Schizosaccharomyces pombe: one gene and its partner. Changing the gene in region 1 together with any one later gene gives a genetic interaction. Each region holds a gene or a part of one and is shown in the gene's direction. Other genes may lie near its edges.

Region 1 (6,477 bases):
GCTATTATAAAGAAAATGAAATATGATGAATCACAGGAGTGGGATGACGATCCTGATAGCGAGGAAGAGGCCGAATTCCAAGAAATGCGTAAAAAATTAAAGATTTTTCAAGATACCATTAACTCTATTGATTCTAGTCTATTTTCTTCGTACATGTATTCTGCTATAACTTCTAGTTTATCTACTGCTGCTACATTATCTCCTGAAAATTCATGGCAGCTTATTGAGTTTGCGCTATATGAAACCTATATTTTTGGTGAAGGATTGCGGGGTCCCGATGCATTTTTTAATGAAGTTGATAAATCTCCGACTGTTCTTTCTCAAATACTAGCATTAGTTACCACTTCACAAGTTTGCCGACATCCTCATCCGTTAGTTCAGCTTCTGTACATGGAAATATTAGTACGATACGCTAGTTTCTTCGATTACGAATCTGCGGCTATTCCCGCTTTAATAGAATACTTTGTTGGGCCCAGAGGAATACATAACACAAATGAACGTGTTCGTCCAAGAGCATGGTATCTGTTTTATCGATTTGTTAAAAGCATTAAGAAACAAGTTGTAAATTATACTGAATCATCTCTCGCCATGCTTGGTGATCTATTAAATATAAGTGTTTCTCCCGTTACTGATATGGATGCGCCAGTACCGACATTAAATTCCTCCATAAGAAATAGTGATTTTAACTCTCAGCTCTATTTATTTGAGACTGTTGGTGTCTTAATTTCTTCAGGTAACTTAACTCCAGAAGAACAAGCTCTTTACTGTGATTCACTTATAAATGCACTTATCGGAAAAGCAAATGCTGCTCTTTCCAGTGATTTGTCGGCTTTAGAGAACATTATTTCCGTTTATTGTTCGCTGATGGCTATCGGTAATTTTGCTAAAGGATTTCCTGCCCGTGGTTCTGAGGAAGTCGCTTGGCTTGCTAGTTTCAATAAGGCATCAGATGAGATATTTTTGATTTTAGACAGAATGGGATTTAATGAAGATATCCGTGGAGCTGTACGCTTTACTTCTGGGAGAATTATTAATGTTGTAGGACCTGATATGTTACCAAAGGTTCCACAATTAATTTCCATACTCTTAAACTCTATCGATATGAATGAACTGGTTGATGTTCTTTCATTCATTAGCCAACTTATACATATATACAAAGATAACATGATGGAGATTACAAATCGTATGCTTCCAACATTACTAATGCGTATTTTTTCTTCTCTATCGGCCGCTCCACAAGGAACAGATGATGCTGTCAAGCAAAACGATTTACGAAAATCATATATTTCATTTATACTACAACTATTAAACAAGGGGTTTGGATCAATCCTCTTTACTGAAGAAAATCAGGTTTACTTTGATCCACTTATTAACAGTATCTTACATTTTGCAAACTTGGTGGGTGAGCCAGCTACACAAAAAAGTTCTATCGCTTTAGTTTCTAAAATGGTTTCCTTATGGGGAGGTAAGGATGGAATTGCTGGATTCGAAAATTTTACTTTATCATTGACACCATTATGTTTTGAAATGCCTGTTAACCCAAATTTTAACACCCGTGATGGTCAGTCTTTGGTAGTTTTAGGGGAACTGGCTGGATTACAAAAAATAATACTTGAAAAGCTAGGTGATATATACAAGTCATATCTTGTAACGGTGTATTTTCCCACCGTCAACTTTCCGGACGTAATGGCTTCTGAATATTTACAAGCTTTATCAAATCTGGATAGTAGATCATTCAAACAATTTTTTCAAAAATTTATTCAAGCATTAAAAAGTGGTAATGTATGAGAAGCTTTTGCTTTTCACGGTTTATACATAGGGTGTTTATACAAACATTTCAATAAAAATGATTATTTCGGACTTGTTGGATCATTGTGGTGCAACGTCTAGTAAAATATATCGTGAGCTGTAGATTGATAGATTCGTCTAACGGGAAGCATTATTTTGTCTAGATGTTTTATGCTGCTGTCGGTATTATTCAATTTATAAAAAGATGTTTAGCTTCAGAATGTCCGTTCTCTTGAGGTGGTGCACGCTTTCCTTAAAACGTCACCTCTTGCTCTCTTGCCTATTATCAATCAGTCTTATTTTTTTGAATATAAATAAACTGACAAAAAAAATCGTTTCTCTTATTAAAATTAATTGACTATACCCAAACAAGTTACGAATTAAGCATTCTTAAAATGGACATTACTGAAACAGATTTGGATGCTTTGAAATGCAGATCGAGTGCTACAAAAAGCGGATATATTCATGATCCTTTTATAAAATTCTTTAGTCCTAGTCGAAATTCGCATAAACCTCCTATCATAAATCGAGGAACCTATGTTAGAACATGGTCTATAGACCACATTCTTCAAAAATTCATAGAATCTTTTGATGGTAAAAAACAAATTATTTCACTAGGAGCCGGTACTGATACTCGAGTATTTCGATATATTGTATGCTTATGCTAAAACAAAAGATAAATGCAGTCTTTACTAACTACAGTAAGTCTGAATACGGACCTGAAAATTTAAAATTTATTGAATTCGATTTTTACCCAAATTGTATACGGAAAATTCGAACAATTGAGAAGCATGAAGCGTTAAAGCAAAACATCGGGGATTATGTTGTGGGTGAGCTAATTTTAGAAAAGTTGACTTACAAATTATTAATTTGCTGACCATAAAAGACATTTCTGGAGGGTCTTTAGTTTCTGGCTCTTTGGACATATATTCTTACGATATTCGAGAAATAGTCCATAAAGGATTTCCTGGGTTTGTAGATTTTTCTTTGCCGACTATTGTTCTGTCAGAATGTTGTTTGTGTTATTTGGAACCTGAAGAAGCTAGTTCATTATGCCGGTGGTTTCAAAATATGTTTGCAACTTCTGGCATTGTTGTTTATGAACCTATTCAGGGGATGGATAACTTTGGAAAAATGATGAAGGCTAATCTTTCTGTACGATGCTTGCATATCATTTCACAGATTAAGAACTAACAAAATTTAGGCAAGAGGAGTGATTCTTAAAACACTCGATTGTTATGAGACAACTGAGCAGCAAAGGATGAGGTTTCTTGATTATGGATACTCGGAAGTAATTGCAGAAGATTTTTTAACTATTGAAGAAACCTGGATACCCATAGAAGAAAAGAAAAGAACGATGAGCATAGAAATGCTTGATGAGTTGGAAGAATGGCAATTGTTAGCAAAGCATTACTGCTTAACTTTTGCAGCTACAGAAAACCTTTGGAATCAGATAATATTGCAACTTCCTCATTTAAAAACTTAATCAAATTATATAACTTTTACATCTGCTATAGATAAATTCAATTTTATACTTTTTTTTAAATTACGTATGTAACCTTTCAGTTCGTTAATATGTTCGTCGTCGAAACGGACTTATGCAACAAGAAACCCATTAGATATAAGTATTCGAAACCATTGAAGCACACTTCTCATGTTTGATTTGAATTTTTACTCTGAAGCCTGATAGCAATTGTTGATAATGGACGCCCCTTTGATTGCCTCTGTTATTTTACCTGAGTTTGGAAAAGGAACCGTTGCTACAGATAATATCCCAATTGGTATGCTCAAAAAGCGAAGTAACCACTAAATCTTTTAGGAAAGATAATTATTCGGAAAAGGGTTGATATTTTGAGCTTAGATTCTGCTAATCTGACGCGCACTTGCTCGACTTGCACGGAAGAGAAGGTGAAAACGCAACGCTGCGCGGCATGTAAAATAATTCATTACTGTTCCAAGGTAAACAAGTCTATTATGTTTTCGTAAAACAGATTTACAATCTGGCGAATTTGCTTATCGAGCTTTCAATTACAAACTCAATTTGTTCGTGAAAAGCGACTACTCATTTTAACTTAGTACTAACAGGCTTTTTAGGGTTGTCAGAAAGCAGACTGGCCTTTCCACAAATTAGAATGCAAAGCACTACAAGCGTCAAAGCAAAACGGTATACTACCTTCTGTATGTCGGTTATTAATACGATTGTATCTCTTATGGCAAAAAAATCCTGCTATCATTGAACCTATGGAAGGACACCAAAACGAATTTCAAGCTGTATCCTCCAGTTGGTCAGATGCAGAATTAATTGCTTCTGCAGCCTCACATTATACCCAAATTTATCAAGCAGAACTGTTTCAAAAACTTTTCTGTAGGCTAGCTGTTAATGCTATGAATCTTGTAACTTCGTCTTTCGATTCTTTGGGTATGTGTTTAGATACTATACTCTGTCGCTTAAATCATTCTTGTGATCCAAATTGCCAAATAATTTTCGATGGTGCAATTGTGCAGCTTGTTTCTAAACGTGATATTAAGAAAGATGAACAGCTTTTCATCTCATACATTGATATTCGACTTCCAAAGTCAATCAGACAGAAACAGCTTCTCAAAAAGTATTTTTTTTCTTGTTATTGTCCAAGGTGTGAGAACGACCACACTACAAAAGAAACAGATGGTTCAAAATGGATGGGACGACTTCGCAACTCTAAATCGCTTATGAAAAATTTAGCAATGGCCAGGGACTTATGGTCCTGTGGTTGGAAACAAACCGCTTTTCCTTGGTCCAATCTTTTACATCATATTAAACTAGGAATGCTTGATGAGTCTAATTTCAATGGTGCGTTTGCCGCTTTATATCTGAAAAGTAGTGCTGATGAATTTTTGGATGCACTTCATGTGGTTGATGAGTATCAATTACTGCTTTTGGGAAAGCAAGTGGCTATGGAAGTAAAGCATTTAATGTTTCCTAATGACAAACCTTTGGAGATGGAGTTCCCGTCCAGCTCTCAACCTCAGCAGACTGTACCTACCAATAACTCGTTATTTTTATTGAAGAATATACCATCATTTGGAGGGTTACACCACTGTATTTTGGGCCGCTATTCTATTTCCCTTGATGATTTTGTTTTGTGGCTTTTAGATAGGGCTCAAAGGCTACAGCAAGCAGTTAGAATAAGTCATCCTTCGACCACATTTTGTTCAAATGTGGAAAATGACATTAAAGAAATATTTGAGGTTTGTAAAGACTATTGCATGCTTCATGTTCAAAACAATTTGAAAGCATTTGAAGAAAAATTATGGGCCGCTTGTAAAGACTTCCTAGTAACATACTAAATAAAATTTATTATTCTCGAAACAACGACTTGCTTTACAAGTGTAAAGTCTCTTATATTCAAATCAACAACACGGGGCACCAGTGGTACATTAACATTTAAAGTAAGCTAAAATTACATTTATCAAACGAAAAATACTATTACGAATGGAGCACTAAAAAAAAATTGGTAAAATAAAACCAACACGGCGATTTATTTTTATGAAAGCGTAATGAAAACAAGGGATCATTTGGTTTAGTCGAAAAGACCGAAACCCATCTAAAATTGTTAGTAAGATGCTTTTGAGAAACAAAGAATGCTTCTTATCTAAAATTAACTTACGTCTTCATCAGATTCCTCCTCTTCCTTGGCTTCCTCCTTAGCAGCCTCCTCAGCAGCAGGGGCAGCACCGCCAGCAGCGGCGGCAGGAGCAGCAGAAGCAGCACCACCAGTGGGGACAGTAGCAAGCTTCTCGTTACCAGCAGCGATGAGCTCGTCGATATCCTTACCGTTAAGCTCGTTGATCAAAGTTTCAATGCGCTCAGATTCAGCTTCAATACCGACAGTAGACAAAACAGACTCGATATCAGAAGCGGAAGGGGAGTCCTTTCCACCAACGGTCAAGAGTAAATAAGCTGCAAGGTACTTCATTTTGACGAGGAGTGCAGTGCGTGTTGATGGCAGAAAGTATTAAGCATTCACAACACTAAGGGACTCGAAACTTTTGTGACTGGTTTTCGAGTTAGGTTAGGGTATGTGTTTGAGTGGAATGCTGCGATGATTTCTAAGGTTTGTTATATTCGTTTAGTTGACGAGCACGATATTTACAAGCTTTTTCTACAAGTTCAAATCAACCTAAATAGTTGTTAGTTAAGGGCGTGCTAATTATTTTTATAATAGTAAGAAAACCGTATGCACAAAGAGGCATAATTAATGTCATACACGTATTTGAGTTTATCAATGGGAATTGAAACAAACATATTAATGTTTGGTAAACTGACGGTTTAAATATAACTTCAAGTGCTTAACTTACTGGCCGAGACTTGAAATAGCTGTATAAGCTATTGAATAAATTTTCTCAATTGTCTTTACTTTCATTTCATTCCTCCTATTATGGGTAACAATGGGCAATTGTTTTTTTTTCGTCTTTTTTTATAGTAATGTCAGCGGTGCCCATGTTAACAAATGTTTCAATCTACAAAACCTAATTATCGCTTAATTTAATTTTAGATTAACTTAATCGAAAACACGTATAACGATAAGACGATATACTCGTAATTGATAAATGACGGATTCTTCTCCAATAATTTTGTGTTTAGAAAAAAAAAATTTCGCACGGTTGCGAAATCTTTATGGCTGTCAACATTTTATTCATATTTGGGAC
Region 2 (5,271 bases), on another chromosome or scaffold:
GTTCAGGTTGCCCTACCTGAATTACCCTAAATGAAGAATCCAACGATATACCTGCATTGCTGGCTTCATGACTGGACATAAGAGATTCAGTTTCGTCTCTATCTAATGAATACAATCCATGGCCATTTGAAACTGAAGACTGGCGACTAGACCTAAACGATTTATTGAGCACTTTAAGTGGTATAGAAGGATTGCTCAGATTTTTATCTTTTATCCACAGTTTCATCTTGGACTGAATTCGATTTAGTCTTGAGTCCATAGTGAACTGCGACACTGGCTAATGGAAAGCAGTGCGCTTTGCAAAATTTGGAACCACACTTTAAATATATAAAAATTTAAAAATTTAAAGATACTAATTCAAATACTTTGGTATTAACCAACCTGTAAGTTTCCCAAATGTTCGGTTCGGTTTAAGGCGGTAACGATAAGCTAAGAGGATATCAGTAACAACAACTAATTTGCGCAGTTATAAAGTTAATAGTTTTTGAGTAATTATAAAAAAAATAATAACAAAGCAAGGATTCTAAAGAAAATAACTTTTCATGGTCATCGGTATTTAGCAATCAAACAAAATTTTAAATTTAGAACTATCAATTAGTATCTGATGACAAGAATGGTAAGCTATTTTTAAGCTTTGTAAAAACAATTGTATTTGGACTATAAAACGTATTTTTATTATGCATGAACAACTAATATGTTTCATTTTATAAACGTAAAGCTTTCTATTGAAAGTTGTTGTTTTGACTTGTGCTGTTGTTTATAAATTGTAAATAAAATAGATTTGATACACCAAATAAATACTAACATAAACGTACAAATAAACACTACATAATTTCAATTCTTATTTTCTATCAATCTTAATAAAGAAACATTTAAACATTTGTTTAAAGTTTCTTCAAATAAATAAATATCTGAGACCTGCTAGAACGAATGAATACGAGAAATATGTTCGACATTCTGAGGAAAGGAATTTTTAAAGATGAAATCACTCAAATTGAAAAAATCCTTTTAAAAATGGAAGATAACACTTACGAATATGTGGATGTTTTTTTGGAGAAATACGAGAGTCAACAAAAACTTTTACTAAAACTGACCAAAGCAATTACTGAATACTTATCCAATTTAAAACCACAACTATCTAAGCAGGAAAACATATATGTCAAACACATTAAAAGTTCGAATGAAGCAAAAACAGAGCTCGAAATTTTCAATTGTTACAAGGAGATATCAATATCAAAGGAGAAAAAAATTAATTCATTGCTAAAACTTGTACGAGAATCAGCCCAAGACTATACAATCAATGAAGAAAACGATATTTTATATCATTCTGAGATATCTGCAAAAAAAAACGCAAGTCCCATGGAATTTGGGGATGCATCTTTTGATTTAGAAAAACAAAGACTTCATTTTGCAAATTCAAATTTACATTCTATTGAAAGTGAACGAAATGAGAGTAGTTTATCTTTGGATTCGGGAGAAAGTGAAAAAAAATCAGAAGAGGATAATGGAAACGGCGAACAAAATTATATTCCTGAGCAGTATGAGCGATTGGATAGTCCAGTGAAAGAAAAAATCATTAATACATGCTGTAAGGGAAAAGCTGAACCCCCCAACTATGAGAGAATAAAACCGAAAGCGAAAAAAGGCAACCAGATGCAGAAAATAAAAATCAGTAAACTTGGCACTGCGGAAACGCAAACAGAAGATGTAATGAATAAGTCTTCACAAAAAGAAAACAACGATATCCTTCGCAAACACAAAACATCAGTTAAATTTCCAACTAATCTCGATGCACTCAATTCTTGCACAATGGAAAACCATGAAATCAATGAATTGACCGCTACAAACAAGATGAATGATGGACCTATAACAAAATGTGCAAGAGAAACTATCAATATAAAGAATTTAAAGACATCGAATTTGGAAAGAAATCAAAATTCTCCGAAAAATAAAAGGACTGTAAGTTATGAGCGGCTGGCAAATTCCTTCTCTTTTAATGCTCTCAACGATTATAATTTAAAAAAAGGTGGAGAAAAGCTTAGGAAGAAAGCAATTAAGAGAGCCCTCAAGGACAGGGGTTCCCAAGATAAGGCATATGGAGGTGTTGTACAGAGTAATTCACGTCAACCAAAAGTTGGTTTTCATGTTAACAATTCATCTTCAGGTCACAATGATAATGAGGGAAATCATTCTCTAATTCTCAGCAGTAAAACGAAATCGCCCCAGTTATTTAACAATGAAAAAAAAGACGAAAGTTACTCAGGTTTCTCGAATACTAACAGTTACGCTATAGAAGAGACTAGCCGGGCTTTAATGGGAACCTCAAAAACCAGAAAACCAGAAAATAAATCGAAGTATTTGATAAAGAACGGTTGGTTTGAAGATTCATTAAACTCGGAAATTTGGAGTGATGCAAATCCTTTGGACTGGAGAAAAACTGATATTCTTGAGGAGAGCACGTCCATCGTTTACAAATAGAGATTGTGGGACACAAACACCGATTGATTGATTTCTATTACAGGCCACATTATTCTAATTGTAAATCGTTTAAGGAAAATATTGCATACAACAGATTTTGGTAAAACTCCTGAGGCCAGTAGAATATAGTTCTTCAAAGTTATGAAATAATTAGTACGTTAAGACATTCTAATTTATTTCAATTGGGCGGTTTGGAAGATGGCTTAAATATACAGCTTTTGATGACTGCAAAACACAGGCAAAACCTCACAAACAAAGGATTTAAGGAATGAGCACATATACAAGCAAGAGACCAACAGTACTTACAAATTCTATCAAGCGGACCAAGATAAATAGTATAGCAAGATAATATGTATTAAAATAACAATTATTAAGGAATTGAAATATAAACAATCCGTACAGTAACAATAATTAGTTTTTGTAATGATACATTGATGTTGGCAATCTGCAGACAAAGGATGCTATGTTAAAAATGGATATAATGAAGTATTTCGTAATTCTCTGTGTCATTAAATGGCGACAGTCTTTCCACTGAAGTAACACAGAACAAGCATATAAAACTACAACAAAATCATATCTAGTCGTTACATAAAATGGTTTATGCAAGTTTAGGTAAAGCAATCGAAGAAAACTGTCCAGAAGAATATGTGGAGCAGGCAATTCAAAATGATCCGAATTCTCTTAATGCGGTAGATGATGTATGTGAAACTAATAATTAATATTGTTATTCTATTGTGAATTCGAAAAAGAAAATGAATATGCATTGACAAGAATAACAAGTGTAACTAAGCTACTAAATGACTCATGTTGTTTTTACTAATCACAAATATTGTTAGGACAAACGTACACCTCTCCATTGGGCCTGCTCTGTTGGTAAAGTTAATACCATTTATTTCTTGTTAAAGCAACCCAATATCAAGCCGGACGAAAAAGATGAGGCAGGATGGACGCCTTTAATGATCTCTATAAATAATCGCTCAGTACCTGATAATGTAATAGAAGAACTAATAAACCGTTCCGACGTTGATCCAACCATAACGACTCGCGGTGGTCAAACATGTTTGCATTATGCCGCTGGAAAAGGTCGTCTTTCTATTGTTCAATTATTATGTGATAAGGCCCCAGAACTTATTAGGAAAAAGGATCTTCAAGGCCAAACACCATTGCATAGAGCCGCAGCTGTTGGAAAGATTCAAGTAGTCAAATACTTAATTTCTCAACGCGCACCCTTGAATACTTCGGATTCATATGGCTTCACACCATTGCATTTCGCATTAGCAGAAGGACATCCAGATGTTGGTGTCGAATTGGTGCGTGCTGGAGCTGATACTTTACGTAAGGATTCTGAAAACCATACTGCTTTGGAGGTTTGCCCTGATCGTATTGTTTGCAATGAATTTTTAGAAGCTTGCAAAGAGCAAAACCTTGAAATTTAGTTCCATATATTACGAGAAATTAATGTTCAAATAAGGTGAGGTTTTAAAACTCATAAGCGACTGCTTTAAATTATACAATTCTCTTAATTTCGTATTAATGACCTTAAAAAAAATGCATGGCGTTTGACGAAAATATAGAAAAGGTGGTTTTGTAGCTTCAATTATTGAAATGAAAATTACAACAAAAGAACCATTGTTAACTTATGTTCTCTTCGTTGTCTGAGTGATGTTTTATACTCAATAATTAAAATTATTACTTAAATAATTAACCTGGTATTTTTTTTACATGGATATATTTATTGTTTTCATTCTCTTTTTCGAAATATTATTTTTAAAATAAAAAAAATAAATAAAAAGGAATAGATAGATAAGCATTTTTAAAAGGAAAATGGTTTGTAAAAAAATATGTTTTTTATTAAATAATCTCGCTACAAGCCAATCTGAAGATGTCGGTATTATTTTCATCGATTTGAACTAATTTATGAATTACCGTCTGCATAACTTTTTCAATGATACTGAGTGAAATACAAAGAACGAATGAAAACATTTAATTATTTTCTTCAGTTCATTACTTCAATATACTTATAAGAGTCATAAATTATATACGAATAAATTTATTTACACTTGAAAAAATTGAAAATTGCCTAAATATAATTGACGATCTATATTGAATTTGATATTGTGCTTGTTGATCTGATATTTTCTAATACAGCTAAGATGAAGTAACAATGAGCTGATGGGTGTATCATCAAAGTCTCCCTGCTAATTCATGAACACTTGTCAGAAGCGCTGTGTCTTTTTTTATATGGAAAGAATAGTTTTGCGTTTCTTTCTGAAAAGTTTATGAATAAAAAGATACGATTAAAATGAACTGTGCTTTTACTAAAGAATTAAAGGACGAGATATATCAAAAAAATTATACTGAGCACGAAATTTTACAGAATGCATATAATGGAAAGGTATGTAGATCCGCTTATATCTTAATCCTAATAATAAAACTTAGTTAGATATTTTGTTGCCAGTAGAAGACGCCTCTGAAGAAGCAATTAGATCAATAACGAAAATAGTGCAAGATCTTAGTTTTTATGAATTCTCTGGCTCACCCGCTCTGCTGTTACATCCCGATTTATATTCAACGTTTATTCATACTGGTAAGAAACTTTCTAGGAACACTTTTTTGTAGCTAATTTTTTCAATATAGGAATTGCAACCATTGTTTCTTCATCCGATAATGATAATAAAATATGTATAAGTCAAGGTGAGTTATTTTACGGTACTGTTCGCTTTTCATATCTCTATAGGATATTATTACCCAGCCAAACAATTTCGGGTATCTTTAAGATTTTGAAATTTTTAT

Evidence for each region.
Region 2: mutations in set6 (region 1) and nas6 together harm fitness less than expected from each alone (positive genetic interaction), as found in Schizosaccharomyces pombe (one large-scale study listed by BioGRID).

Annotation. Positions count from the first base shown.
Region 1 is NC_003423.3:3,642,456-3,648,932, reverse strand, and holds set6 (histone lysine methyltransferase Set6), read left to right. Parts: upstream 1-3,393; 5' UTR 3,394-3,490; coding exon 3,491-3,569; exon of another isoform or gene 3,570-3,607; coding exon 3,608-3,747; intron 3,748-3,882; coding exon 3,883-5,115; 3' UTR 5,116-5,140; downstream 5,141-6,477. Other genes in the region: karyopherin exportin-T Los1, read left to right, coding at 1-1,788; leucine carboxyl methyltransferase Ppm1, read left to right, coding at 2,184-2,441, 2,495-2,618, 2,675-2,943, 2,993-3,274; rpp201 (ribosomal protein P2), read right to left, coding at 5,349-5,372, 5,436-5,744.
Region 2 is NC_003424.3:2,335,104-2,340,374, forward strand, and holds nas6 (gankyrin), read left to right. Parts: upstream 1-3,016; 5' UTR 3,017-3,071; coding exon 3,072-3,176; intron 3,177-3,314; coding exon 3,315-3,914; 3' UTR 3,915-4,209; downstream 4,210-5,271. Other genes in the region: flippase Neo1, read right to left, coding at 1-259; protein mug68, read left to right, coding at 931-2,478; rpp40 (Rnase P subunit), read left to right, coding at 4,781-4,873, 4,918-5,065, 5,116-5,172.